Linked DNA regions of Danio rerio. The protein of the gene in region 1 interacts with the protein of each later gene in a pairwise test. Links are inferred from orthologs where the notes say so. Each region holds a gene or a part of one and is shown in the gene's direction. Other genes may lie near its edges. The genes, in order: lnx1, rad54b, agtrap, ca8, eif4h, trim54 and aida.

Evidence for each region.
Region 2: the proteins of lnx1 (region 1) and rad54b interact in binary tests that used the Homo sapiens proteins (3 or more experiments, as listed by UniProt). The two-hybrid records come from large-scale screens. The link is inferred for Danio rerio from reciprocal best matches to the Homo sapiens genes LNX1 and RAD54B.
Region 3: the proteins of lnx1 (region 1) and agtrap interact in binary tests that used the Homo sapiens proteins (3 or more experiments, as listed by UniProt). The two-hybrid records come from large-scale screens. The link is inferred for Danio rerio from reciprocal best matches to the Homo sapiens genes LNX1 and AGTRAP.
Region 4: the proteins of lnx1 (region 1) and ca8 interact in binary tests that used the Homo sapiens proteins (3 or more experiments, as listed by UniProt). The two-hybrid records come from large-scale screens. The link is inferred for Danio rerio from reciprocal best matches to the Homo sapiens genes LNX1 and CA8.
Region 5: the proteins of lnx1 (region 1) and eif4h interact in binary tests that used the Homo sapiens proteins (3 or more experiments, as listed by UniProt). The two-hybrid records come from large-scale screens. The link is inferred for Danio rerio from reciprocal best matches to the Homo sapiens genes LNX1 and EIF4H.
Region 6: the proteins of lnx1 (region 1) and trim54 interact in binary tests that used the Homo sapiens proteins (3 or more experiments, as listed by UniProt). The link is inferred for Danio rerio from reciprocal best matches to the Homo sapiens genes LNX1 and TRIM54.
Region 7: the proteins of lnx1 (region 1) and aida interact in binary tests that used the Homo sapiens proteins (3 or more experiments, as listed by UniProt). The link is inferred for Danio rerio from reciprocal best matches to the Homo sapiens genes LNX1 and AIDA.

The regions. Positions count from the first base shown.
Region 1 is NC_133195.1:25,282,043-25,286,263, forward strand, and holds part of lnx1 (E3 ubiquitin-protein ligase LNX), read left to right. Parts: intron 1-2,043; coding exon 2,044-2,221; intron 2,222-4,221.
Region 2 is NC_133191.1:29,853,391-29,858,221, forward strand, and holds the start of rad54b (DNA repair and recombination protein RAD54B), read left to right. Parts: upstream 1-1,747; 5' UTR 1,748-1,819; intron 1,820-4,831. UniProt on the Homo sapiens protein: Involved in DNA repair and mitotic recombination. May play an active role in recombination processes in concert with other members of the RAD52 epistasis group.
Region 3 is NC_133186.1:18,188,523-18,191,984, forward strand, and holds the end of agtrap (type-1 angiotensin II receptor-associated protein), read left to right. Parts: intron 1-2,568; coding exon 2,569-2,693; 3' UTR 2,694-2,717; downstream 2,718-3,462. UniProt on the Homo sapiens protein: Appears to be a negative regulator of type-1 angiotensin II receptor-mediated signaling by regulating receptor internalization as well as mechanism of receptor desensitization such as phosphorylation.
Region 4 is NC_133177.1:25,094,072-25,098,292, forward strand, and holds part of ca8 (carbonic anhydrase-related protein), read left to right. Parts: intron 1-755; coding exon 756-818; intron 819-891; coding exon 892-940; intron 941-1,078; coding exon 1,079-1,191; intron 1,192-4,221. UniProt on the Homo sapiens protein: Does not have a carbonic anhydrase catalytic activity.
Region 5 is NC_133190.1:4,811,094-4,816,080, reverse strand, and holds the start of eif4h (eukaryotic translation initiation factor 4H), read left to right. Parts: upstream 1-1,595; 5' UTR 1,596-1,667; coding exon 1,668-1,732; intron 1,733-4,987. UniProt on the Homo sapiens protein: Stimulates the RNA helicase activity of EIF4A in the translation initiation complex. Binds weakly mRNA.
Region 6 is NC_133195.1:42,035,978-42,040,998, reverse strand, and holds the start of trim54 (tripartite motif-containing protein 54), read left to right. Parts: upstream 1-2,010; 5' UTR 2,011-2,122; coding exon 2,123-2,290; intron 2,291-5,021. UniProt on the Homo sapiens protein: May bind and stabilize microtubules during myotubes formation.
Region 7 is NC_133195.1:55,027,899-55,032,119, forward strand, and holds part of aida (axin interactor, dorsalization-associated protein), read left to right. Parts: coding exon 1-41; intron 42-1,883; coding exon 1,884-2,001; intron 2,002-4,221. UniProt on the Homo sapiens protein: Acts as a ventralizing factor during embryogenesis. Inhibits axin-mediated JNK activation by binding axin and disrupting axin homodimerization. This in turn antagonizes a Wnt/beta-catenin-independent dorsalization pathway activated by AXIN/JNK-signaling.

The DNA.
Region 1 (4,221 bases):
ATAAAAAACAATTTAGATGGTTTTGTAATGACAACTTGGCATAAACAAATAAAGCATAACCTGTCTTTGTCATAAATCTGTCATAAACATAATTATCATGGGATCCTGATTGTCATGCAATGATTATAAAGGTTCTATAAAAGTCTTATGAACAGCCTCTTCAAGTAGGAGTTATCGTCGTTTTTTTAAACCCAAACGCTTACCACCCTAATAAGTATTTTTAAAAACGATTTATTTGATAATGAAAACATTTGCTGCATTAATTCATATAAATGGTTTATGCAAAACCATCTTAAATATTATTAATAATTAAAATAATAGACCACCTCTGTAATGGTCTGTACCATTGTGAATGCATGTTTGCGGAAAAAAATATTAATTCAGCAATTTGAAATTGACAAATCTAGAGCACCAACAGAAAAAAGGCATTTGCACTGTAGATATCTGTAAAACTAGATGCATAGTTTGTATTTTATTATTCACTTACTTGCACATGGTAGTTACACAGTAAAATATAAATTACGTCCAGTTATTCATGGTCATCGATTAATAGGTTTATTTAATATCACGAAAGTCCATGAGAACCTCTCAATATTTCTCAAAACACTGAAAGCATAATAACAAGTTTGATGAATAAATTAGATGTATTTGAAATAAAATTTAGTTCACTGAAGCATTTTACCGAATAAAATCGGAAAACTTGACCCCCCAACCCCTGATTGTCGATGCATAATTCGTACCCTGCTTCAGGCCATACAAAATGTAGATTTTTTTTTCAGTGAAATAGTTTAGAATATTTAACAGTACATTTTATTTATATCTGACATTTAGTTTATACTGTAATTTTGCTTCATAAGTGTGTATTGTCACCAGCCTCAGCTAACAATTTAGTTTCAGCACTGTGTATTTTTTTGAATCTCAAAGTGCCAGTATAGCATTTGTATTACATTTTATGAAATGCCAAGGCTTTACAGTTTCAGAAAAAAAAAAAAAAAAAAAAAAAAACACCTTCTCACCTACATTTTGGCCTGAGGGTAAATCACCAGTACATTTTTATTTTTGAATAAAATATCTCCTTAAAACAACTACAGAAACAAGAACAAAACTATCATTATCAGTGTTCTATTTCCCCTGCTTACAGACACTTTATATCCTTTCAGTAACTCCTATTATTTCTCTTTTACACACTTGGAAAGGTGGAAACATTCTGGCAACATACTGTCAGAGGCTTTTCACTCCTCTGAATTAGACACAGCCTAACACACACGCACACACACACACACACACACACAGTCCAGCGATAAGCCTGACACACTAACTCCACATCTGATTTGATGTAGCCGGAGGCTCAGACTAAATATAAACAGCCCTTTTATTGAACTTTAATAACGCTTTTTATTAAGTTAGAACTGAGCGACTGTGTTTGTTGTTTTTGGAAGCTATCCAAGGTACAATTTGGCCGCGGTCAGCAATATCACAGCGTCCTGCAAGCTCACCATTTATTACAAACACAAGCTTTGGGCAGTCATGTGTTCAGATGCTATTCTAATTCGCCAGCGAGAATCCAAACAGCAGACAGCCAAACGTCATAAACTTTCTCAAAACTTGAACCAATTACAAGGCTAGCCCACTCTAAAATGCCAATTCTGTACTCACATTTACACAAAAGATATGAAAAATGTTGAAAACCGCTACCTCAGGACTTCCACTGTCATTTTCTCCCTACTATAGTAAATGAATATTAACTTTAAACATTTTTCAAAATATCTTTTGTATTCAACAATAAAATAAACTTATTAATACATAGGTCTCAAACTTGATTCCTGGAGGGCCGTGGCTCTGCACAGTTTCGCTCCAACTCTAATCAAACACAGCTGATCCAATTAAACAAGGTGTTCAAGTTTAAACCGTGCAGAGCTACGGCCCTCAGCAATTGAGTTTGAGACTATTGTTAAAAAGGTTCAGAAGCACTTGAAGGTGAGTGAATTGAATTTTTTTGAGTGAACCATTAACTTTAAAATCTATCATTTCCCTTAATTCTAGGATTCGTGCCAAAAGCCAGCGTGTTACGAGAAGACGGTGACTCTGTTAAAGGAGCCGCATGATTCACTCGGTATGACGGTTGCCGGTGGGATGAGCAGCAGAGGTTGGGATTTACCCGTCTATGTCACGAATGTCGACCCCAATGGAGTGGTGGGACAGGAGGGTTCCATCCGCAAAGGTACGGCCTCATAAACCTATTCAGACACATCCGACAAAGCCATACACACCTGTTTCCAAGGTGCCCCTCTGATCTTTCTTGCTTTTGAATCCACGAGCACAGATAAACAAAGACACACCTGCTCCTGCATATGTATGACTCTCATCGCTTTTGCAAATTTATGCATATAAAACTAGAAAGTGACACACTCCTACTCGTACACCTGCCATACTGCTATATTTGCTATATTGTACTCACAGTTTTGAGCTGGTTTAGCGGATGGAAGTTATTTCAGGTTTATTTTTGTCTTATGTGACATGTATAGTAGTGTGTGAAGGTGTGATCAGGCACAGGCTGGTGTATGTAGATAGATGTGTGACACCGTGAAGACATTTACAGTGGTATTTATTTAAAATAGAAAACATTCTATACATTAAAAAGTCAGAAAAAAAAATTAAACATTCGACTTATGACTAAAAACAAAAATCTACAAATATCTATAACATTACAGATAGATTAAGTTCCTTAAATATCAACTCTGGGACAAAAGTTTCCATTTTTAATGTAAAAGTTCATTTCTGACACGCACAGAAAACAGAAATAAAATATGAAACATCTTGTGTGTCTATGACAGTGTTTAGACTAAACTCCTGCTGTATTACCTCATTTAAATGGTGGTCTGGTGGTGAAACAGTGCCTCTTCAGTCTGATTTTAAAGAGATAACTAGCAGGAGTGACAAAACTAGCATATCTTGACCTCCTCTAGACCTTCCATAAATTCTATCATCGGGTGAGCTCTAGTGTTTTGATGAAATGAGATACTGTAGAGTGTGTGTCTGTGTGTGTCCTGTTTTCACTGTATTTCAGTATGAGCCTCTGTCTCTCATTTCTCAGTCCCTGTCACAAATCTCTCATGTCCTTCTACTTCCATTTCCATCTTTTGTCCAAACTATATTTGTCATCCTCGATCTATATTAGCAGTTTAAATAAATATATAATACAATGGTCACATGCAGTACATAATCAGTGACCTTCACATTTACATTAAGGACTGAATCCACAAACTTATTTTTTATGTTGTGTATGAAATGACTCCAGAAATTGTGACAACTTGTACTTTAGTAACCATATTGCTTTAACATATATTTAACACAATATTTTTGATTAACTTTACTGAAATCAAAGACACAACAGCATTTTGAACTAACAGCAGTCAACAGTGTTGTATTTTGTCCATGCTTTTTTATGCATTTCACAGAGCATGCTTTTCAAATATTGCCATGTCTAATTATTATAAGCATATCTGGGCATGGCTCATAAAGTCATATGGAGTTGATGAAGGAGGCAGCTAAATAGAAGATTTAATTTGTTGTGTTTTAAAAATCAGATTTATTCCACCAAGTACTGGTTTCTTAACCTTATGTTAAAATATTGTGTTGTCTAAAAAAAGGCTTTAAACCTGTCAGAAAACATGCCAATTTGCTATTTTAAAAGGAGGGAAATCTAAATGATATTTTAGTTTTACATTTGGAAGAAATTTCATTAGTAGATTTACAGAATTAAAAAAAGTCTGATTTTACTCAAACAATTGATAAACTGAGAATCTTACTGTGGTCTTTGAACTATTTTCATTCATTCTTTCATTTTCTTTTCGCCAACTTATCCACCATATTTTTTATGCAGCGGATGCCCTTTCAGCTACAACCCATCACTGGGAAATGAACTATTTTCTTCTATAGCTATATAAATAGTAAACATTTAAAGTGGATCAAGACGTTTGACAGAAATAGGTGTTAAAATGGTTTCAGGACAACTTTGATAAAGAGTTTTGATCAAATGTTGACTGCTGTATTTATAGAAAATATAATAATTGAATGTTAGCATTTATGTCAGAACACACTTTATTAACCTATTACAAAAATATGGAATAAAAGTAGAAATAGTATTGGAAGACTATACATACTTTTGACAAAATAGAAAACAGATAAGTGACATTTAGAAATGTTATCAATTTTTTTAGA
Region 2 (4,831 bases), on another chromosome or scaffold:
TCATTTTTATTTTAAATTATTTTAATATAACTAAGGTCTTCAACTTATAATAAATATAATTTTTTTGTTTCTTTGCAGCTTAATATGTAATTTCTTTGCAACAAACTTCATTTTTTTAATAATTGTGTTAAACTACTACAACTTGACAAGAATATTTGTTACACTAAACATGATTTAGGAAATAAAATTAAAAATGATTTTTTAAAAATCCAATCAAAACAAATGTTTTTTTATTTTCACACTGACAAAGTTAAAATAATGTAAGAATAGATAAAAAAAACTGCAAACAGAAACAGGTTTGTATATAAATTTTACATTTTATTTTGTTAAGTATCTTAAACATACAGAATTGTAAGATTACTTGTTATGTTACACATTCAAATGTTTTCTCATTTGACAACTACAATTTAACATGAATAATTCTGTTACATTAAAAAGTAATTAAAGAATGTAAATTATAAATGAACAATGATTACAAATATACAACACATTTAATGTTGAAAATGGAGTGTTTACCAGTAAAACCCATATATCAGGAGCCTGTTGGTCCCTCCCTCACTGACATCCAGCAGACGGTCCTTAATAATAACCCCTCAGTAACAGGTGATCTGCGCAAGTGTTCCTGCACCTGCCTGGCCACGTGACAGAAAAACAACTGATCATCTTAGGTGTCCGTTTGTGGCTTGACCATTAAACACTTCTGTTTTTCTATGATATGCTGCTCTGGTTAAACCCTCACTGCTAACAGATCCGCATTTGAGGATATACAGCAGGATCTTTATGAAGGAGAGGATGTTTGTCAGTGTCTGGTCACTCTCACTGCCTGAATGATCTCTGTTCTTCATGGCTGCGGTTGGATTAGACAGGATTATGCTTTCCCACACTCTGATTGGATTATTTTCTACACGCCAACATTACAGCTTCACTTTCAGACATGCAGCACTGTATAAAATATTGACACAACACATGCAAACATGCATCTGTGTGCATCCCAAACACAGTTACTGAGTAAAACACTTAAGAATTCAATAAAATCACACTCAAGCACCATGTATGTGTTATTAAACGTTTCTAAAGATTAAAGGGTAATGTTATTCAAGATTTCTCCAGTACTGTGCCAGTAATTCATGATTATATATATTTATTAGTTAAATTACAACCAAAAATAAACATTGATACATTGATCATAATTTATTTCATTCAGTGCCTTTCCAGTACTCTTTTTTACATATACAGATTTTTCTTTACTGTGTAATATGTACAAAAATTCACCATTTGTTTACTTTCTAGTAAAATATGTTTGTTAATAAGCAATATTTTTTGCAATAATTCGAATATAAAGTATACTAACAATGTATTAATGAAAGACTGCAATGATGAATATAATAAAACACACACAAACCAGTAATTGATTTGATGTCAAAGCTAATAACTGTGCACAAAACTTGTTTGTTATAATGTAAATAACCAAACAAGTCTAGTTAATAATGTGTAGTAGCTTCTACTTGCCTGTTTGATCAGTGATGGTTGACAGAAATCAAACTTTTCAGACGTCTCTTCTATTTTGCTTCATTTACCTTTGCTGGATTAGATATATATTATTTGCAGGCTACATTTCCTGTCAGGTTTCTTTAACAGTACTCTCTCTGTACTGTTGATTTTTGCTCTTCATAAGCTCCTCAACTCCACCTACTTTACGTGACGTCGAGTTTTGTCCAATCACAGCAAAGGTACGTCACGTCCGCGGGAGACTCGTTTTTGAGGGAGTTTTTGTAAATAGGCAAAGTGATTGACATACGAGAGGAAACTCGATAACAAGGTAAGCGGTTTACGTATTGCTTATGTACAATTAGTAGATTAAATTCAAATGCATTTGACATGTTTTGAGAGGTGTAAGGAGTCGGTCAGCGCGGCTCAACTTTACATTGTTTACCCGTGTTTTGCTAACGACAGCAACAGATGCTTGCCTGCTTGCTAAAAATGTCCTGTTCGCAAAGGGATGGTTCGCCCAAAAGGAAACTATTTCTTTGTTTATCACATTCTTGTCATCTCTAATGAGTATGACCTTCTTAACATTATTTATGAGCTGGTTCAGTTTAATGATATATATAGATGAGCTACCCCGCGTTGTCCGATTCATGAACAAATGAAATGACTCTTATGAACTGGATCTTTTTAGTGAATCATAAACCCTCTGATACGAAAGAATTTGCAGTTCATCAGGGCTGCTTATTACACTTTAATAATAATATTTAACATCATGTATAATATTATTGATTAGGTAGTAAATATTGCATTCATAAAGAAAAAAATCCTAAAAAGTCATACTAAAATGTAATTATAAAAATGTCAACAAAAGTTCTTTTTTTCAATTTCTGTGTACATACCTCAAATCAAAGCACTTTAACTGTCACATTAGCAGCAGCAGCACGTGTTCTATGATGAATGAAAATCTATTAAGGTAAAGTTTCTCCAAAATAGTGTCATTCCAAGAAAGTATTCTTTGCCAATGCTAAATATGGAAATCTAATCCTATTATCAGTCAACGACTGTCAAAGTACAACACTGTTCACAGTCAAATAAATAGGGCTAATGTTGTTTTCAAGTAATACTTACATGTGACTTTCGATTGAATTTTCAAAGTACCATGTTAAACAATGTAGGCAGCATGTCACAAGTTGTCACTGTACGAATGTGCCGATATTTAACCAGCTTTACCTAAATTGAATAGCTTAGGTGCTGGCTCCAGACTACAGACAGTGCATAATACAACAAAATACTCAAAAATAAAACAATAAACTATTAAAAATGCTGACAATTAATGAGCAATTCCAGCGTTATGGGTTTGACATTTTGAGTAAAAAATTCAAACATAAATACACAGAGAAAATCTATGATAACATTATATTGCACCATCTGTTTATATTTTCCAAAACAACTAACCACAGAGTTATGGGATCAGAAAAATACCAATCTGTAAATATTATTTATATTTTAAAGTAAACATGCGTTATGGACGTGACCAAAAAAAGTATGCGAGTTTACAGTATACAACATACTTTGTAGAAATTCTGTAAATTAAACTGCACAACCCAAATGAAACAATGCTAATCTAAAGGATAAGAGTCGGCTTACTATAAAAACAAAAATCATTGATTTTATTTTAGTTGACATTTATGAGGAAAAAGCTTGGTTATGAATCATGTGACAGATGTAAAAATGCCACTTTTGTGACTTTGGTAAATCAAATATATTAGTTTGACAACATTGACTCAGACATTTATGAGTATTTCTAGAGTTCTGTGAAATACGAGCCTACACAAAGAACCTAGAAAGTATTTTGCTATTTTGGTAAACATTTGCATGGAATTGCTCAAATTTGTAAAGAAAAAAAAACACATTACACCCATGTAGACACAGACAAGTACAAAGTCAAAAAGGTGTACACATTGACTGTTGATGGTGTATAAATAATTTAGGCAATATTGTTTTGGATTTGTCACTGGAAAGATGATTTTGTATTGAATTGGATTTGTCATTAGAAAGGAGATAATTTGTGTATTTGTATATCATTTATTTTTTTCTTTGTTTTCTTATTTTTTGTTTGAATGTTTTTGTTCTCTTAAACTACTGTTTTATCATTGTGTGTTTTGAGTAAACTGTTAACCTTTTAAAACATTTAACCACTTTACCAGTTTAAAAGAAATGTGCTAATTATTTCTTAAATGTAGTTTTAATAAATTTTTGTTCTTTATTTTTGTTCTTTTATACTTGATGCTAATGAAAGGGTCAGAAATTATATTTTCTATTAAATAAAGTTTATATTTCTGTTTCACAGTTTGAATTAAGTTTCAGGGGTATCTTTTGTATCCGTAATAGCAATTTTCGGATTACTTTAGTAAATCAGAATGCTATAAATATAAACTATTAATAATAAATTGGTATTTAAATTCATATATATAAAAACAACACGTTACAGTGTAGGACTGCAATTTTATGACAATTTATTTACATAATTCAGATTTACACTTCATGTGTACATTCATTCATTTATTTTCTATTCAGCTTAGTCCCTTTATTATTCTGGGGTCGCCACAGCGGAATGAACCGCCAACTTATCCAGCATATGCTTTACGCAGCAGATGCCCTTCCAGCTGCAACCCATGACTGGGAAACAACCACTCACACACATACACCATGGACAATTCAGCCTACCCAATTCACCTGTACCGAATGTCTTTAGACTTGTGAGGGAAACCAGAGCACCTAGTGGAAACCCACGCGAACATGGGGAGAACATGCAAACTCCACACAGAATTGTAAACTGACACATTTGAGGCTTGAACCAGCGACCTTCCTGCTGTGAGGCGACAGCATTACCTACTGCACCACTGCATCGCTCTGTTTACATTCAACAACTAATTAACTAATCTAGTACATGCCTCTGATTAATTAGTACATTTATAAACTCAAAATAAATATTTGATCGATCATATTGCTCAATACTGCAAAAGCAATGTCAAAAAAATAAATCTAATGCAATGTATGCAGATCTGCTTCACAACAACATCTTGTAAATCTGAAATATAAAAACCCTTCTACAAATTAGTGAAATATATAATGTAACCCCACAAACATAATGGTAAACAACAATGGAAAGCCCTGCAAGCAAGTGAAATAATACAAATATGAAACACTACATATAAAAGTTGATCGAAAGACTAAATAATTAATATGCATAGTTAATGAATGAATAAGGAAAAATCAGTTAATAAATTGCAAAAATGTCTAGTGATGGTATATTTAAATTTTTATAAGTTGCATGTGAAAT
Region 3 (3,462 bases), on another chromosome or scaffold:
CGTCTCAGGCCTATAAATGCCACCACAAGTTCATTGCATGTCAGCATTTGTCTTCTGCGGTGCAAGTCACTTGTGATGTGATGATATTGCTCTCTTTGACTCATTGGATGGAAACACTTCTTTATTCACACGTCTTTTGTGTGATATTTCAGTTTTGTGCATGAAGTTAATTCACATTTTTGGCTGGAAACATAGCTAATGTAGCTGTTTTTGTTGCCTGTGCCTTTAATGCTAGTTCTCCCTGCCCACTGTTCCCACGTGGCTGTCAGTGTGCCTCAGGCTCCAGCTGCATCAGATAAACAGCACAGTGACAGACACGAAGGAAGCAGATCTCTTAAACGTTTGTGAGAAATACTACAATAACAACTTTCCCAAATATTATTTGATGTATTTGTTGTGGAGTTAATTCAAGCCTATGGAACGTCATTGTGTGAGACTCATCATTGCATAAAGTTTACGCTAGAGAACCCGCCCCGTTTTCTACCCGCCGCGCCCGTTTCCACTAACGAGTGGGGGGAGAACAAAACCGAAAACCACCCAGCTATACAGAGTCCAGACAGCCTATAACAAACTGTCTGTATAAACACACACACACACACACACACACACACACACACACACACACACACACACATAAGCACCAAGCAAGTGACACACACACACATAGGCATCACACTCTTTCTCTCTCTCTCACTCACACACACAGACAGCACAAAGCTTTCTCTCTCATTCGTACACGCACACACGCACAGACACACACACAGAGTGATGCTGTGTTTAGCTTGTTTGCTGCTGTCTCATTCACACACATACATACGCGTGCTCGCTCGCTCGGAAGTCGGGAGCGATATTGTTGGACAGTTACTCCCGTCCAAAATTAAACCAGTTACCGACCGCTCCCGCGCTTTATTCGGAAATGTATTACCGCACCGCAGAAATCTGGTCGGGTTGAATGCAGACCTCTAGTTCACGCACACAAACACACACACACACGCAGTTGTGACAGGATACACGTTAATATCCTCTGCTGTGTGGATATCTGTTATGTTAATGTACATATTAAACTTGATTTAATGTCCATAACCGGGATTCTTCTTTTATAATTGTACTGATATGTGGCTGTGGTGATAAAGTAAAGACGGTAAAATCTCTGTAATAAAGTTTTAAAAAGGTTTTAAATTTGTAAAACTCATTCTTGATCATATTTGATGATGATTGATGTTCACAGCGATACCAGTTTCTTTGTGTATGTCCTGTCTTGTTGATATGATTATAGGCGTTACTACAGAGACATGTTAATACGCGACGTCAATCATTTTGGTGGGTACGGGAACCACACTCCTACGTCACGTTGTGGTGGGCCGCAAAATGGGGAAAATTTGGATCCTATTTTACTGTCAGGAAATTAAAAAAAAGAGACTTAGTGTATTTTTATCACTTCAATATGACTGTGGACAAATTATACCTAAACTCAGTTATGTTCAAACTGCTTAAAAACGATGTTTAGGTGCCCTTTAAATTAGCAGTTTTCCATATTTTGTGTATTTTATTTTATTTTCTGTTTATTTATGTTTTTGAAATGCATTATGGTACATTTTCTGTGACTTTTTTCTTTACTCTTTACATATAATTTCTTATACATTATATTATTTCAAACTACTAAAGTGTGAATAAATTTTCAACATCAAAAGTCGACAGAGCAAAGATCAAGATCCCATAATGCAATTCCTACTCGTAAATAAATGGATAAATGCTTGTGAATCACGAAATACGGAAACTGTTATTTAACATGTTTTACAGCAGTTAAATTAGCTATAATATTATGTTAAAAAGGAATTTATAATAATAACTTTTGTATTGCTATAATAATAATAACTGTTTTATGAAGGTCTCGAAGGTCCCCCCTCATGATTATCTCGAAAATATCCACACTGTAACACAACAGTTCATTTTCTAGCTGTATAACGTCTGACTGAATGGGCACAGAAGTGCTGATTTATTGCATTTAAATTAGTTGTCAATATTTGCCTGTGTTTTTATTGCACATTATAAGGGAATCGTGTAATAATTTTTTATTTAGACTGGACTTCTCAGGTTGTGCTTAAATAAATAGAAGCAAAATCAAATTGATCCGTTTTACTTGGCTTGATTTCTTTTTTCTTTCCTTTTGTATTACTAGTTTTTTTTTTTACAAAGTAGTTTTGCATGTTAAAGAAATAAGGTCTAAAATGTCATTTAGAACATTAGACTATAAATGTGCAGTAAAAAGTGTCCGTTTACTCATTTACTAATGAAGTTTCTTCAGTTAATGGATCATGATCATTCTGGATGAATGAGAAAAGATTAGGCTAGGTTCTGAATATTGCTCTTGCTGATATCAAGAAATCATATGGTGAGTTAACAATGTCAATATGTATTTTTATTTTTTTTAAGTGTGTGTTTCTTGAAAACAGTAAGCATGGAAGTCCCCCCCAGTAAACCTAATCATTAAAGAATTGTACATGAGATTGAGTTGGACTTTCCATTCATTAATTCTGGATTTATTTTTCTTATTTTTTTAAATTTCAGGTTTCCCATCAATATCTCGAAACAGAGATGCCTACCAGTCTATTGACCACAACGATCAATCTGGAAGCTCTGCCAACCCCTTTGGCCAAGCGGAAGATGGCAAATCTGGCACTCGTTCCTACTAAACATTTATTAAAAAATATATATAGCAAAATGTTTTGCAACCCAGGCTAAATGTGAATTTTTGCTTGGTTCATGATTTGTGTATGTTTTTGTTTAATTTGTATGCCTATTTATTATTATTATCATTATTATTATAAATAATAGTATTAAATATAATGTTGAAGCATGAAGGAAAACAACTTTACATTTGGAGATGCCTCGTTACTGAAGAAAACTCAGAGATAAATGAAAACCCACCTTCAACACCTTTTTTTTAACCTTAGGACTGCTTTGTACAAGTGCAAGCTGTTTGATTTTTTAAAGGTGTTATTTGTGAAGCTCAAAATTTGCTGCTTCACAGTAAGGTTCCTTGATGCTATAATTTTGGTGTGCACAACATTATTATTATTTTTTACTTTTACTTTTCTTCATTTACTATTTTGTAGCATAAAATTGGTCCATTTTGTGAAAGGTTTAAACTTTTTTTTCCAACCTGATCTCACAAGAAAACGCAAGTATTTTACGTTTTGTCAGTTTAGTGGCTAATTCGTACAAATTTGTACAAGTTCAGTCATACAAAAATGAATGATTTTAAAAAGTAGGCATGGCACCTAACCCCACCCCTAACCCCAACCGTCATTGGGTGATGAGCAAATCGTACTAAATTGTACGAATTAGATTGTACGAATTCATATGAATTAGCCACTAAAACAAATAGTTATGAATTACTGTGAGATTGCATTGGTTTTTCTTAAACCTTGTCATGGGATCTGTCCTGTATTAGCTATATAT
Region 4 (4,221 bases), on another chromosome or scaffold:
AAACATCTGCAAGGATGTTTCTAGAAGCCTAGTAAAGCAGCGGTCACACTGCACTTTTCTCCCCATAGACTTCCATTCATACGCACATAAATGCGTCAGAGCGGAACGGAACACAAGCTTGTGCGACAAGTTTCGCAGTTCGCTGCATTTGAAAGTTCAAGCTTGGTGAACTCGGACCTGCGAAATCTCATCACATGATTGGGTGAGACCAATCCAAGATCAAAACATGACCTCTCTGGACAGGAATTTAAAACATGGACCAATCGCTAGCTTTTTTTTTTTTTTAAATGTCTACTCATCTAATCCTGCCCCTTTTCACAGTGCTGTACTGTGAAGCTGCGGTCACATTAGAGTTTGAGCATGCGATATTCTGACGTGCGGCACTGCGGAAAGGGGCGGGATTAAACAAGAATATTAGACATTTAAAAAAGCGAGTGATTGCTCCAAACAAAGACAGGCACAAAATGCACATTTTCAAAGCCGAATTTCTGACTTTAGCATTGTTTTTCAGATAAGCTAGAACGTTCACTTAGCATGTTTGTCAAATATCTGCAAACATATTATTTTTATGCTTTAGAAAAGTCAAAAACTTAACAAAACACACTTTGCACACTGTTATGAATCATTCTGTTGATGGGAAGTAAAAATCCTGTTTAATGTTTGAATTTATGGAAACAAATACTGTTTCTAGGAGAAACTGAACTGACCATATGTCCTGCTCAGCTGACACGGCTGCTCTAATTTACCCTTTTCAGGTTGGGAAGGAACATCTTGGTCTGAAGGCCATCACAGACGTCCTGCAGGACCTGCAGTATAAGGCAAGCAGAAGAGCAGCTTTAGTAAACACAACACATCCCCTTGTGACCTAAAATGTTTCTTTTGTTTGTACAGGGGAAGACTAAAATAATTCCATGTTTTAATCCCAACACATTACTCCCTGGTAAATGATTTCTTCATTAATAATCCATGATAGTGGTATTAGCATCTTTTTGCATGTTTTTGTTCTTGATGTTTTCTGACTAGTTAAAGTTTATCAGTTTGTATCTGACTGCCTCTGTTGCTATGTTTACACACTCAGATCCTCTATTAAGAGATTACTGGGTGTATGAGGGCTCTTTAACCACCCCGCCCTGTAGTGAGAACGTCACCTGGATTCTGTACCGTTACCCTTTGACCATCTCTCAGATGCAGGTGATGCCTATACAAATATTATTGGGTTGTTGACTTGACTTTGCATTTTCACTGTCACACTTGAAAAAAATGAATGTAATTAGTACTGCGATCATTTTCTTGCATGAAAACTTGAAAATTTGTACATTTTTGAGCCAAATCTTTGGCATTCCACTGAAAATATTGTTTGTTTAGTTGTAGGACCTCATTTAAGATCATGTGACCTCCTTTGAAGCCCATGACATGCACATGTTAAGTGTTTGTCTCAGAATTTCTCACATATTTAACTTTTTGGAACCATTATAAAATTGTTTAAAAAGTTAAATGTTTTGTTGTCCTTTGGTGTGACTCCCCTTTTATTAAAACAAATCTAACAAATTCATCATGTTACTGAGAAAAATATTATTGCTAATTTCATGTAAAACAAATAGCACTATATGAAGATATAAGTGTCCAACAGTAAAGATAAGTCACGCTCATGATATTTGTACATTATAAAGAGTTGTTTTTCTTCATTTTTGCTATGTTACACCGTATTGAATATTTAAGATACAATTCAGTAAAAGTGAATCTAATAAAGAAAAAAAAGATGAAGTTAGTGACTCATCATTTTTAGTGAGGTGCTATGCAGGTAAACCTAGTGATAGACACTAGAGGTCATAGTCTTTAGCCTCCTTGTTAGAGCAACTGACTCCGATGCGAGGAATCGCTGGTTCAATCTCAGCTCAGACTGGGTTGGAAGCTGTAGGACTGGTGGGTAACACATAGCATAGGATGGGAGTGAGGTTTAGGGGGTAAGTGTAACGGAGGCCAGCTAGAGAAGTGCTATACATGTAAACCTCACTCCTGACCTCTAAAGGTGCTCTAGCAACAGATGCTAGACGCCATGGTCTTTAGTCTCCATGTTATAGCAACCAACTTCCATGCAAAGAATTGCCAGTTTGATGTATGGATGTTTTCCAGAGATGGATTGCAGCTGGAAGGGCATCCGCTGCGTAAAACATGTGCTGGATAAGTTGGCGGTTCATTCCGCTGTGGTGACCCCAGATTAATAAAGGGACTAAGCTGAAAAGAAAATGAATGAATGAATAAATGTGTCTACATTTTCTATTTGTAAATCTTAATTGAAGATGGTTTCATCTGAATATACGTGTCTCTGACATTACCAAAAGTCTATGACTCTGCTAAATTCTCTCTCACTCTCTCTCTCTCTCTGTCGGTATACACACTGCATATATGATGGTCCTATTGTCCTATCTAACTAGTTCTTTCGAGTACACAGAAGGGGAAATCAGAACCCGACTTTGACGTGTCTTACACAGAATGGGGTTTACCACAGTAATGTAACGGTAAAGAACAATATATGGCATTTATCTGCATCTTTGATCTCAGTGACTGGCAGAGCACAATACTTTCAAGTAAAGGCCAGTCATATACTGAATATTATGGAAAGGTCAGACTTGAAAGCTAGTCAGGGTCTTGCCTGTGTTCGATGACTGTAATAACATTTTCTATATAAATAGTTTCCTTCTTTGATTAATGGATATGGTTTTCCCAGATTGAATTTGTACAGAATGCTGAAATGACTCAGCCTATGTTATCACGTTAAAAACAAATACACCATACTATGGAAAAAGGTAGTTATGATAACAGACAACAGAGTAATAATAATAGCATTATAGAGAGAGAAAAGTAAAAATATAAAAATTTAGTTTTCTCATGTTTCTGGAAAAGCTCACACCTAGGGTTCAAATTCAACACTCACACTAAAATTGACCAAAAAAGTGCAAATAATAAACTGAACAGAGTTACTCACTGCCTAATAGGTCATTTACAATGAATAGTATGAAACATAGTCATAGATTTGCTGATATCAGAGATGTGTATTTTTCAGACCAATCCATCTCCTATTAACTTTTACTAATTGAAAATGTATACACAGTTGCAAATTATACATTACATGAACCTTTAAATAATATACATTTAAGTACTTACAGTTGAAGTCAGAATTATTAGCCCCCCCTGAGTTATTAGACTGGTTGTTTATTTTTTTCCCTAATTTCTGTTTAATGGAAAGCAGATTTTTCCAACACATTTCTAAACATAATAATTTAATATCTCAGCTCTAATAACTAATTAATTTTATTTTTGCCATGATGACAGTAAATAATATTTGACTAGATAGTTTTCAAGACACTTCTATACAGCTTAAAGTGACATTTAAAGACTTAACTAGGTTAATTAGGTTAACTAGGCAGGTTAGGGTAATTAGGCAAGTTATTGTATATCGATGGTTTGTTCTGTAGATTATCGAGGAAAAATTAAGCTTAAAGGGGCTAATAATTTTGTACCCTAAAATGGTGTTTAAAAAATTAAAAACTGCTTTTATTCTAACCATATTAAAACTAATTAGACTTTTTTTATTTTTATTTCCTTGCTCTGTTAAACATCATTTGGAAAATATTTTAAAAAGAAGAAAAACATTCGAAGGGGGCTAATAATTCTAACTTCAACTGTAAATTAAAACATAAAGAATTTCTTGATGGGCGAAGCAGTGGTACAGTAGGTAGTGCTGTCGCCTCACAGTAGGAAGGTCGCTGGTTCGAGGCTCGGCTCAGTTGGCGTTTCTGTGTGGAGTTTGCATGTTCTCCCTGCGTTCATGTGGGTTTCCTCCCGGTGCTCCGGTTTCCCCCACAGTCCAAAGACATGCAGTACAGGTGAATTGGGTAGGCTAAATTGTCCATAGTGTATCCACACAGAAAAAAAATCCACACAGAAACGCCAACTAAGCCGAGGCTCAAACCAGCAACCAACCAGCGATCTTCTTTCTGTGAGGCGAACGTGCTATCCACTCCGCCACTGCGTCGCCCAAAGTAATACATGCTATTTTAAAATGACACTGGACAATATAGCTTAGAGTCTGCAGTTAAGGATGAATATACTGAACATAGTGCATGAAACACTGTATAACTTTATTTATTATTAATATTTTAATTAATGCATTATCTTCTTAAATAAATCAATTTCAAATGAGTGAGACTTATGGCCGGT
Region 5 (4,987 bases), on another chromosome or scaffold:
TACTGTCCCAAGTGTCTCTCACGCTAACCCAGGGCCACCGGGCTGTCCTTATTGTTGAGCCCTGTACAGGAAACAATTTTTGAACCTCATATAAGAGAGAGAGAGAGAGAGAGAGAGAGAGAAAATAAAACATGCACAAACAAAGTACTGTTAGGGTGATTATTTTTTTTCCTTCTAAAACATAAATTCATGTCATTGAGCAGAGATGCCCAAACTAGGTCCCGGAGGTCAAAGTTGGCCTATGTTACTTTTTAATTTGGCCCACCATCCCATCTAAGAGAGGGGGAACGATGGGGGTGGTTTCGAGATTTTCAATTTAGATTTAATGTAACCTTTTTTGTTTGTTTGTTTTATTGTTAAACGCTGACTAAAATGAAATGTTTCAATGAAATGGTGTAAATTATTCAGATTTGATTTAAATCTATAGACTGTCACCCGACAATTCAGAGACTTTGGTGAGCAAATCAAGCCAAAGGCAGATTCTGCTTGACTAGGGTATTCAGCGTTGAATTCCACAGTGTTATAAAATCATTCATTCATTCATTTTCTTTTCGGCTTAGTTCCTTTATTAATCTGAGGTCGCCACAGAGGAATGAACCGCCGTTGTACGCAGCGGATGCCCTTCCAGCTGCAACCCATCACTGGGAAACCCATACACACTCATTCACACACATACTCTATGGTCAATTTAGCTTACCCAATTCACCTGTACCTCATGTCTTTGGACTATGGGGGAAACCGGAGCACCCGGAGGAAACTCGCACAAACGCAGGGAGAACATGCAAACTCCACACAGAAACTGACCCAGCCGAGGCTCGAACTAGCAACCTTCTTGTTGTGAGGAGACAGCACTACCTACTGCGCCACTGCGTTGTCTAGTGTTATAAATGTGATTGTTTATGTTTTATTGCAATATGTTTTCACTTAAAAAGTTATACGGTATTACTTAATACCATTTAAAGTGAGGTTTTCTATTACATAAATATGATTAAATAAATTAGGAGATCATCCATGGCAACGTTAATGTAATATAGGCTTACTGTAGTTTGGTATATTTACCTTCGGCCCACGGCTCTCAATGATATTTAGTTTTTGGCCCTTCATACGAAAATGTTTGGGCAGCCCTGCCATAGAGGGATACCAGACGAAAGAAACTCATACATGTTTGGAGCAAGTGTAGGATGAGTAAACAAATGACAGAAGTTTGGGTCGCTTTAAATAAGCATTCGGGTGAACAATTCAACAACTTGCCTTCTTTGTCGCTCCCTACTGGCAAAAAATAAACAAATCACTAACGTTAAATGAATCTATTTGGTGAACTGATTTAAAAGATCCGAACACTGAATCAAAACCCCACCAGTGCGTCCCTCCAAAAGAAGTAGCTGATACTACATTTAACCGGAGTCGAGTCGACCCGCCGTTGCCTAATTCAAAACTCCTTCAATATTCGCATTCAAAATGTGACTTTCAACACACCCCCTAACAATTAAACGCGCGCGTTACATTTAAGCATTTACACAATATAAAAGCCGTCCGCGTTTAGATGTATTGTATAAAATTCAAAGGATGATTTGTCAGGCACGCGGAGGTCAGCTAAATCTCGCAGCCGTATATTTTGGGGTCCTTCAGCGTCAGACTGCTGCTTTCTCTGAACAGCATCTTCGGCAATGGCGGATTACGATAACTACGATGACCGGGATCGGGCGTACGGGAGCTTTGGCGGTGGAAGAGGGTAAGAAACCTCGCGTGCGAGGAGCGGAGAGGCGTGCGTTTTAGGTGGGAGTCAGCAGGGCTGTGCGTGTGGCCGCCGGTTTGCAGGACACCCAGCGGCTGTAGGCCACGCAGCGGCGGCGCGCTCCCCGCTATGATGAATGAAGGCCGGGCTAGAAACTCAGCCCACATGGGCTGCATGTCTCGCGGCTGACTGATTATTTCAGAGGCCTAGTGTGTTTTTTTTAAACATTCCTTTTCGACTATGCCTCTTAAATCAGGTTATGATGTCATGATTGTTGCTTTATTTGGGCGACAGCATGCTGGCGTGTTTAGCACGGTCTAACGTTAAGTTACATTGGGCCTTAAATTGCGGTTTGACTCCCATTTATGCTTCTCCGCAGTTTTTAAACACTCCAAAATGTTAGTTTATGAGCAAAATGATGGTAGCTTGAGATAATGGCGCCTTCACAGTTTTGTACATGCACAGTGGAAGTCTCTGGTGTGAGTGTCATGTAGATGAACATGTGCATCTGTATTCTGCTCGCGCGGTTAGAGTCCACTTTTAACAAACGAGGGATCTTGTGTTTGTTATTGAGGTAAAGTTGGTTTTATATCCACACATTTGGACTTTCTCTTTAATAATATGATTTCAGAAAAGTGTTATTGGAAGATTCTAAATACCGCGAAATCATTATTAGCTGACAATGACTATCAAAGCACACCAATGTTCAGTCAGTTAAATCGTGCTAATGTTGTTTTGTAGTCGTACTTGTGCTTTCAGACCGAATATTCAAAGTAACTTAACATGATAAACAATATAAGGATATTATAATAAGTAGTCACTGAACGAATTTGCAAATATAAAGCCAATTTGACATAGTGTTTAACACATTTGTGGCTATGGTTTTACGTCCATACCGTTTCTCAGGTATGTGTGGCATTAATCGCTTCTTGAGTATTGAAACAGAAAGTAAGTCCACTTGATGTATGTAAACCTGTGGGTTTTGTGTTCAATTTGGGCTTCGTTTATTGTGCTGCATTATTACTGAGGAACCTTTGTGTGTACAGAGTCTTGAAAGTTGAGGTTGACGACGACTTAGCCACTTTTACACCTCTGTCTGATCTCTTCAAGCTAAAATGGCCAAACACCTTATTTAATCAGTTATTAGTTAAATGTTTCAGTATACCATGGTATTTCCTTGTTTTTAAAGTTCTTAAAAAAGGGATCGTTCACCCAAAACCCTCCCTTCATTTGCTCCTTAAAGAAAGCTGAAAACATGTGTTCAATGAAAAGAAGAAATTTAAAGAATCTTAAAAACAAAATTGAAGAAATAACACAATGTTTTGTTTTCAAATGCAAACTAACCCCCTTTTCGCAAACCTAAAGGCTCAAATACACTCAAGGTTATAATAAACAAACACACACCGATCGCCACATAAACCCAGTGTGTATGTCTGTGAAAATAAACATCTGGGCTGTATCAGGTCGCTTTGCATTAGATCTGTGTAATAAAAGGACAGCAGTGTAAATGCAGTAGTAGTCTCCATTGGTAATATGAATCAAACTACAAATAAGTCACCGCTGAACCACATTAGTAGTATAATATGCATACTTGAATGCAGTTATTTTTACTGAGCTGTTCTCACTGGCCACTTTATTAAGTACACCTGTCCGTCTGCTTGTTAATACAAATTTCTAATTAGCCAATCACATGGCAGCAACTCAGTGCATTTAGGCATGTAGACATGGTCAAGACGATCTGCTGCAGTTTGATCTGAGCATCAAAATGGGGGAGAATGGTGATTTAAGTGACTTTGAACATGGCATGGTTGTTAGTGCAAGACGGGCTGCTCTGAGTATTTCAGAAACTGCTGATCTACTGGGATTTTCATGCACAATCATTTCTAGGGTTTACAGGAAATGGTCCGTAAATGAGAAAATTCTGTGGGCGCAATTACCTTGTTGATTCCAGAGGTCTGAGGAGAATGGCCAGACTGGTTGGAGCTGATAGAAAGGCAACAGTAACTCAAATAACCACTTGTTACAACCGAGGTCTGCAGAAGAGCATCTCTGAATTCACAACACGTCCAACCTTGAGGCGGATGGGCTACAGCAGCAGAAGACCACAGCAGGTGCCACTCCTGTCAGCAAAAGGCGTTCTCAACCGTGCTAACCGAACCGTGCCCAAGCCCGTTTCCCGGATCGTTTAAGAAGTGTGAGTGAGTTAAGTATGAGTGCAAAGCGCACCTGAGCCCAAAACTGAAGGCGAGACAAGACTTTTAAGGGACTGTTTCATTTGGATTTATTAATTATTCATACAGTTCAAGGAACACAAACTATCGTAGATTATTAAAGACACAAACTCCTCACTGCATGACAGCTACACCTTTAGCAAACCTCCTAATTCTTGCAGCACGAGGACTTTATGATTGTTTATGAGTGACAAAAGTGGCGGATCTGTTCGGCGAAATATTTGACTGCGTCACTATCAAATGACTAAAACAATATAACTGAAGAAATCTCCACTGTGCTGAGCGAGAGCACTTCTTACTGAACAGCGCATCATCGATGACGGAAGCAAACTCGGGCACGAATGCATGCGAGTGCGGGCCATCGGGGGGGATGGGAGGGTGGACAAGCATGCTTCGGCCCGGTCCAAGGAAACTGTACATAGTGTAAGTACACCCCAAGAACAGGAAATTGAGGTTACAATTCTCACAGGCTCACCAAAAATGGACATAAGAAGATTGGAAAAAGGTTGCCTGGTCTGATGAATCTCGATTTCTCGACATTCAGATGGTCGGGTCAGAATTTGGTGTCAACAACCTGAAAGCATTTATCCATCCTGCCTTTTATTTACAGTTCAGACTAATGGTGGTGGTGGTGGTGTAATGGTGTGGGGGATATTTTCTTGGCACACTTTGGGCTCATTAGTATCAATTGAGCATCGTGTCAATCCCACAGCCCACCTGAGTGTTGTTGACCATGTCTATCCCTTTATGACCACCGTGTACCCATCATCTGTTAGCTGTTTCCAGCGGGACAACGCACCATGTCATAAAGCGCAAATTATCTCAGACTGGATTCTTGAACATGACAATGAGTTCACTGTACTCAAATGGCCTCCACAGTCACCAGAACCCAATCCAATAGAGCACCTTTGGGGACGGGAGATTCGCATTATGGATGTGCAGCCGACAAATCTACAGCAGCTGCTGTGTGATGCTATTATGTCAATATGGACCAAAATCTCAGAGGAATTTTTTCTGTTTC
Region 6 (5,021 bases), about 17 Mb from region 1:
GTACATACTGTAGCATTTAAAATGAAAGTAAATGTGGTTTCAATGTTTCAGATAACTTCTGTCAAAATAAAATGTCAGAATGTGCAAGATAATGTTTTACCTCCAGCTTAACTTGTTTAAAAATTTAGACAAACTTATTACTAACTGCTTATTAAAATATTAAATATAAAATGTTTAATAATTATTTTTTTGTGACATGAATCTCACTGAAAATGGTAAAATCTGGTGGTTTGTAGCACATAAAGATTTAAAATGATAATTAAGTATTTCAGGGCTGCAATGTGATCCTTAAATAAAGACTTTTAATATGAAATCGAATTATTATTCTGAATATGCCTCAGATTTTTATTGTTTTTAGATTTACCGCCACTCTGAAAGACATTTTATAATAGTTAAATCATAGTTTTTTTTTTCAACATTACATTACAACGCTTCAGTCACTTTATTTTAAGGTATAATTCATGCTATTCATAAACCATTAACTAAAACTTTTAGCTTGTTAGACTACTAATAAGCTGCTTATTAACAGTTTGTGAGGTAGTAGTTGGGTTTATGTGTTGAATAGGATAGTGCGTGTAGAATAAGTATTATTAAACAGCCAATATCTTAATAACAGGCAGGTAATAATCCAGTAGTAAATAAATACTTAAACAAAAGTCTTACTAAACCTTCATTTTGCTTTGTTGCTTAACCTCTTTTACATGTGACTAATTAAACTTAATAAAATTCCAATATAATCTAAACTACACTGATATTAATGCATTGCATAGCATTCAATGTATTACTACACTTCAAAAAATGTCTTTTGCTGCTTAAACTACTCTCTTAAAATAAGCTGAAACAACACAATTCTTAAGGGTTTTTTAGGGCACACTTAATATTGGAAAAACTAAGTTAACTTAAGTGAATTGAACAAAAAAATAATATTAAAACAATTAAGTTAACATAAATTATTTGTGTTGAGACAACTTGAGGGAATTGTGTGGAACCCAGCATTTTAACAGTTTATATACTATATTTGTAAACACTGGATTTGCAGGTACAGTGGGGGGAATAAGTATTGAACATGTCACCATTTATAAAACACATAACATGAAATGCATATATAAAAAGAAAACCAACTAAATTAGTTTACAAATTAAGTGTTGTGTAATAAAATGAAATGAGACAGGAAAAAGTATTAAACACATGAAGAAAGAGAGGTGTAGAAAGACAGTGAAAGCCCAGACAGCAGCTGAAATCTCTTAGTAGTTCTTCAGCAACACTCTGCCCTTCATCATTGTAAATGAATATTAGCTGCTTCAGTCCAACATCTACATTATCAGGATGATGAAAATAAAACCACAGTGGACATTTCAGCAAGACAATGATCTAAAACACAGTCAAGGAAACTCTCAAATGCTTTCAGAGATAGGAAATCAAGCTGTAGAATGGCCCAGCCAATCACCTGATTTGAATCCAATATAGAATATGAAATAATGATCAGATTTGATAGACGAGACCTGAGAGCCATCAAGACTTTTACACTGTTGAAGCCAGTGAAAAAAGTCACACCTGAGCAATGCATATGACTTCATTCTCCAAATGAGAGGCGTCTTTAAGCTGCCAAGTCAACAGCACCTTTAGAAATATGTTTTCTGAGAAAAATGTTGACGTGTTACTTATTTCCCCCACTGTATATCCACATAATCTATGTGTTCAGAGCACTTAGGCTTTGTTTTAGGTGGGTTATATCATCGGCGCCAGCTCGGGCTCATGGGCCTGCTTGTCTCACTAGCCTTTGAGTCGCACACACCAGCTGCTTGGTCTGCCATGCCCACTTTCTGCTCAAGTTACCACAGATAACACAACTCTGAGCAATCCGTTCTCCCACCCCTCTCTCTTGCTCTCTCTCTACCCCGGACCCCTCAATGCAGCGCTAACTGGGGTATTCAAAGTGATATTAAGGGGGTGTGCAGTTTGGACAGTAACCCAAGCCAGTACAAACACAGCCCAAATATATCCTCTGCCACTCTACGGTTGGCGATTGATTGGGCATCTGGATGAAGACTGGCACTGCTGGAGAATAACAGAAGGAAAGGAAGTTTAGGATCTTAAGCTATTGACTGAATTTGGTGTCCAAATGAACTTCACTTTGGGCTTCAAACCGTCGATCGGAGATTCCAGCTCAATGGAGAACTTGGAGAGGCAACTGATTTGCCCCATCTGTCTGGAGATATTCAGCAAGCCTGTCGTCATTTTACCCTGCCAGCACAATCTCTGCAGGAAGTGTGCCAATGATGTTTTCCAGGTAATGCTTTATTGCTGTTATTATATAGTGTACGGCCTGTTTTGAACTGTAGTATCTAGAATGCTCATTTAACTTTTGAGAGCTTTTTTGTAATTGTAAAAGCTGGAAGAGGATCTGTGTTTTCAAGCCATCTATTTTCCCTTTAGAATGCCTAATGAGTTTTTAAAATACTGAGTTTGGATTTATAAGTTGAAACTGGTTCAAATGATGCAAAGAGACTTTTTGTTCTTTAATGTAAGGCAAGATGAAGCAAGGCAAACTTTATTTATAGAGCACAATTTTAAGCAACTGTATTTGATCCAAAGTGCTTTGCAATAAAATAAACTAGACAATAAAACTAAAAAACTGGTATTAAATACAAGGAAATGTATATGTTTAAAAGTAATACTAAAATACAAGTTAAAAAAATAATAATAATAATAAATAACATGCATGCATCACTCAAAGGCAAGAGAGTAAAAATAAGTCTTTAAGTTAGATTTAAAAGCATCCAATGAAGGAGAAATCCTGATGTTCAGGGGGGGACTGTTACAGAGCCTTGGGGACACAGAAAGCTCGATCACCTTTTGGTTTGAAGCAAGACCGAGGGACAAAAAAAAAAATTTGGTCATGGAATCTTAACGGTCTACAAGCTGAATAAGGCCTAATAAGTTCACTGACATAGACCGGGGCAGAATAGTGCACTGCTTTATAAGTGAAATGAAGAATTTTAAAATCAACTCTGTATTTTATAGGTAGCCAGTGCAATGAGGCAAGGACAGGGAAGATATGATCTCTTTTCTTAGTTCCTGTTATTAATATAGCGGCTGCAATGTACGCCCCCCACCCCCCAAAAAATCGTAAATTAGCAGTTTTTTGTATGATTCACCCCCTAAACCCCTCACCCCTTCCCCCAACAGAAAAATAGTACTTTAATATATTTTCAGAATTTAAAAAAAAAAAGTTACTTTCAATTTCAAATGTATTTGCTGTATTTTAGATCAAATATATGCAGACTTGGTAAGTGAATAATCTTCTTTCAAAAAACAATACAATTATTTCACCGAACACAATAAGAACGCAATTTCAACATTTTGTGATAACATACCCAAATGATTAAAATACATTTGATTTATTTTAAAAATCATGGTAATTATTATATTTTAAATGTATTTTTAAAATGTAATAACATTATTATACACTGTAAAATTATTTTGTAAACTAGCAGTTTTTGTGATTCACGTTGTTTATTGATGCTTTTATTTATTTGTTCGTTTAATTTTGTTGTTTGTTTTTGTGGAGTTTTCAAAAAAAAAAAAAAAAAACCTCAATATCAATGTTACAATTTTTTTTTTAAACAATAGCTCAGGGTAAACAAGAACATTCAAAAGCCCTCAGTCCCCCATCCCACCCCAAAGGAGGAGATTAAAAAACGCACACAACAACATAAGCACCTACAAGAATTGCAACTAAATAAATATACATAAAATATAAATAACACACACAAACATTAATAAAAAGGGCAGAGATCTTTCTTGAAAAAAAAAATCATATAAATCAGTGAAGAGATGTGTTGTATTCCTGACAAAATTAATTACAAAAGTTTATTTATGCTTTTGAATTACATTATCGGACCTTGATCTTTCTTCCAATAACATATAACCTTGAAAAGTTTAAAAATGTGCCGTTTATGAACCTTTTTTATACTTTAAAGTGATATGTTGTCTGGGTTGGTGCTCTATACGGTACCGAATTGTGTGAAACCTAGCATTTTTTTTTACACTTTGGCATGTTCAAGTGTGTTCAGTTAGTGTTGGAGCAAAACTCTGCAGGGACACCAGCCCTCCAAGATCGAGTTTGTCCATCCCTTAACTAATTGATCAGATATTAAAATGTTTTAAGTTATATTGTTAATGATGTTGTACAGTATTCCCTTAGCTGAGGCCTAATATGAAACCAGAACTCAAAGTACCATAGCATCTGTCATACAGAGATTAATGATCCATTTAGGCTTTCTTTTTTGTGCCAATCTCTTTTACTTTGCTCCTTTTGGCATTAGTTTATTCATCTCATCATCAAGACAAGTTCATCCTTTAGCAGTCATTATTAGTGTTGTTTCTTCTCTCTCTGCGAAGTGAGTGCCATTAGGTCAGACTTCAACATGACTGAGTGCTTCTAATTATACTTTTAACAGTTATAAAAGATATCTGATGGGAACATTACACATTTTTTTGGGCAAATAGATTGATTCTGGCTGGAAGTGCATTCACAGCGTAAAACATATGCTAGAATAGTTGGCGGTTCATTCTGTTGTGGTTACCCCGGATAAATAAGGAACTCAGCTGAAGGAAAATTAATGAATAATACAATAATAATAACACATTTAATTTACAAAGCTCCTTTAAAAGTTACTTTTTTAAAGTGCTTTGCCTACAAACCTCATTTATTAAAGGGAACAACAGTAAAAGATCAAAACAGATTATTGAAAACATGTTAATTAAAAGCAGTCCTAGACAATTCATCATTATATATACTCCAGACTGTTGTAAATACGCTGTAGGCCATTTACAGATGTGGATTAAAGGTAAAAATATTCATAAGACCTTGGTATTATCAGGAGTCATGTAAATTAGTTTGCCTCTATATGTTTAGACTCTTAATCATTAGCACATTTCACACAGACATTTTCAGTAAATCCTCCTCAAATATTCAGCCCGATATCACGAGTAAACATAACTATGTATATTGTCAG
Region 7 (4,221 bases), about 30 Mb from region 1:
GGATGTGGAAATCCAGAGACATCTGGAAAAACTACCCAAAGGTCTAACTTTGCATTTGAGCATCACTGAAGTGGCTGAAAAGTCATTATGCACTGCTAGTAGTGTGCTTTTGATGTCGCATTCAAGACAACACTAGCAAAATTATTCACCCCCCAGTGCTATATTTATCCATTTTCAAATATTTTTCAAATGATGTTGAACAGATTCAGGAATTTTTCACAGTATTTCCTATATTTTTTCTTCTGGAGAAAGTCTTATTTGTTTTATTTCGGCTACAATAAAAGCAGTTTTTAATTTTTTTAAAGCCATTTTAAGGTCAATATTAGCCCCCTGAAGCAATAGTTGTTTTGGATTGTCTACAGAACAAACCACTGTTATACTGTGACTTGCCTAATTACCCTAACGTTAACCTAATTAACCTATTTAATCTTTTAAATGTCACTTTAAGCTGAATACTAGTGTCTTGATGAATATCTAGTCAAATATTTTGAGCTGTCATTATTCATTTCAATTCAATTCAGCTTTATTTGTGTAGCGCTTTTACAATGTAGATTGTGTCAAAGCAGCTTCACATAAATGGTCATAGTAACTGGAACAGAGTAGTTCAGTTTTTAGTGTTGAAGTTCAGTTCAGTTTAGCTCAGTTCAGTGTGGTTTAAATCAGTGTTTCTCAACTGGTGGGTCACGACCCAAAAGTGGGTCGTGGGAACATTTTCAGTGGGTCGCGGAGTGTTTGATAAAAAAAAAAAAAAATAACAAAAGTTAAATTTTTAACTTATTTTGACTTTTATTTTAAAATGCGTGCACGACAACCGTACTGTTTGACATGTGAAATTAAAAATTAAAAAAAATAAAATAAGAAGTCAAAAATAAGTCAAAACACAGGTACGACTCCGAATATGTGAAGTATGGATTTACATTTATTGACAGCAAAAACGACTTCAAGCCTCAGTGTGTCATAAGTAGCGAGGTGCTCTCACAAGAGAGCACGAAACCTTCTAAATTAAAACGACATTTAGAAACCAGACAACATGTTTTATTAACAGTTTAGTTCATGGAAACTGAACCTTTCCATACCCTAACCACAGTTTACAGTATTTGTCACTTTTACTCTGTAATTTGATACATTTTGTTAAATGACAGCAATGAAATACTGTATAGTTTATTTGTAAGTCTTGCTGATTTTATTATAATTCATCTCACTACTCGTGTATGTTAACAAATAAATATAAATTAATTATAATTCCTAAAATTGTATTATAGTTCCTAAAAACTTGGGTCGCGGCTTGATGACCATGTAAAAATGTGGTTAGCATAGCCAGTTGAGAACCCCTGGTTTACATCATTACTGAGAGTCCAAACACTGAAGAGCAAATTCATCGATGCGTAGCTCTACCAATCCCAAACCATGCAAGCTAGTGGGGACAGCGGAGAGGGAAAAAAAACTTCACCGAGGCGAATGAAGAAAAAAAACCTTGAAAGAAAAAAAAAGACTGAGTTGGGCACGACCATTTTAATTTCTCTGCTGGACAAAAGTCTTGTGCAGAGCTGCAGTCTCAGCAGTGGAGGCTGGAAAATTATGGCAAAGATAAAAGAAATCAGTAATTAGTAATGAGTTATTAAAACTATTCTATAACTATATTAAAATCTTTAATTTAAACAGAAATTAAGGGGCTAATAATTCTGATTTCAACTGTATTACAGTTTGTTACCATGCTTGATTCTGATTGGCTAATGAGCATTCTAAGGTGTGTTGTTATTTTCATATAAAACCACAGCTAAAGTAGTTCCGGCAAGTTTTTGATAGTGTTACAGCTCTATATCACTCCACTAAATGGTTTTTAATTATTAATGACATATTTTTGTGCTTTGTTTTCTCTGCAGGCGCAGCTATTTTCTTTGAATTCAAGCACTACAAACCCAAGAAAAGATTCACCAGCACTAAGTGTTTCGCTTTCATGGAAATGGATGAAATCAAGCCAGGTCCCATTGTTATTGAGCTGTGAGTATCAGACCAGTTGTTTGCTCTACATTGAACTGGCATTAAAGGAATAGTTCACCCTCATGATTAAAATTCAGCTTTTAATTACTCGCCTTCATGTCATTTCAATCCCCTGAGATCTGTGCATCTTCTGAACACAAATTAGAGGGTTAATTTACTCACCCACCGCTCATCCAAGATGTAGGAGAATTTCGGTTTCTTCGGTAGAGCATTAAAGCAGATTTTGAGCTGAATCTGTGGCTTTTGTCGATTCATATAATGGAAGTGAATGGTGACAGGTTTTTTAGATTGAAGGGCACCTATGACGAAAATCAACTTTTCATAGCTGTTTGGACAGAACTGTAGGTATAGTGATAAAGTCACATTGGAGTGATAGAAAATAGGGTTGGGCCGATAGACCATGACATCGTCCATCGCCGATGGCCAATAGACAATACGTTGCTGAGCCGGTCCTCTGCCCCGCCCCCTTCGCAAACCCGCTCGCAAAAAATACACACTCAGGCCCCGTTTACACTAATATGTCTTAGTGTTAAAATGGCATTTTAGAACGAGAATGATACACATCCACAACGTGTTTGACGTCCGCTAAAAACGCACATCACGTGACCACACACACACACACATAGCCACAGACACGCACACACTCTGTCATGCACTCCTCTGAGCTCCAGGCAGAGAGCAGTGCACGTCGGACAGTTTATCAAGATTGTACAGCTTGCGTCTCACTATAGCTGTTAAACCTAATATTCAGACATCCCAAGTTTCCCGGAAGTTCCGGGAGTCTCTATGCATTTGCGGGACTCATAATGCAGCAAACGAGTGGTAATCTCCCAGAAATCGTGCATCTCCCTCCCGGTCCTCAAATAAGTCGCGCACCCATCTCACCCCCAGATCCCTTCTCGCTCTTAAGATACGTACGTCGCATGCATTCTATCAACCCCTCATCATGTGAAAATGTCATTTTCACATGATGACCATGTCATCGTCCATTGCGATGTTTCACATTAGACATCGTACAATAATTGGCCTAATTGGTCGACATCGCCCAAACCTTATAGAAACCCAACAAGTGAGCTACCAGTGAGCTATAATCAGTGGCCCATCACAATGTGACGTCGGAGTGTGGTTTCCTCGCCTACCAAATTGATTGACAAGAGCCATTTTTCTTTAATAACATGTTTACACACGCCCACAGAACATTTTTTGCAAATAAACTGGGATTAAAATATTTGATTCAACTCTCTGTGATTTTTATTAGTTTAAACATCTTTAAAACAGCATGTTTGTAATTAAGAGAGTAAAATTGCTGTAATTCTTAACCGCTATAATCACCACGGCCGCATAGTAGGGGTGTTTCTTCGTCGCACTGCGATGCAGACGCGGACAATTCGGTATCGGTTCAGTAATAATCATAACCGATTATTATGTACTGACGTCATTTATCTCGTATGCACTATGTCGCCGTAGCTTACAATGGTGAGGGAGGCGAGTGCGAGTATTTACAACGCTCCAACTACCTAAAAACGCAGAAACTCTGCACAATTTCACTGCGTGTGTGTTTGCTGGAAAGTCTTCCACTAACAGCAGAAGCCCCCATTTCACTGCGTTTGAGAGAATGAAAGTAACTGTGACCCATTTGACCTGCTGGTGTGACGTTTCCTCTCCTCTCGGCTGTTACAGCGATTCTTCTGGATAGAGACATGAGCGGATGTCTGCAGAGTTTTCTCCACCGCGTCTATCATGGACAGGGTCTCTGCAGATATCATAATGTCAAATTTAAGACCTTTTAAGACCTTTTTAAGACCATTAAGTGTTAAATTTAAGACCTATATCGCAATATTAAAAACACGCGAGAGAAAATGTAAAAGCACAAAATTAGGGGTAAAATAAAGTTATTTAAATTTCGCTCTTTCGCATTACAACGCTCCCGACTTATAAAACTGCGCTTGCGACATGTGTCAGTGAAATAACGGCATACTCTGCCAGCCGAAATCATGTCACGCGCACTCAAAGCGAACTTCCGCAAACACAGCGATGACGTCACATTCGCCGCGCGCACTGAGTTTAATAACAGAAAGCTGATTGGCTATTGCAAGTTGACTTTTTTGTAGTTGTAATACCGCTAATTACAATTGGACTTGTGAAATATAGAACTACAACACCCCAAAAATCTAGCAACAACTAATAACAAACTGTAATTGATCATTATGAAAGTCAAGG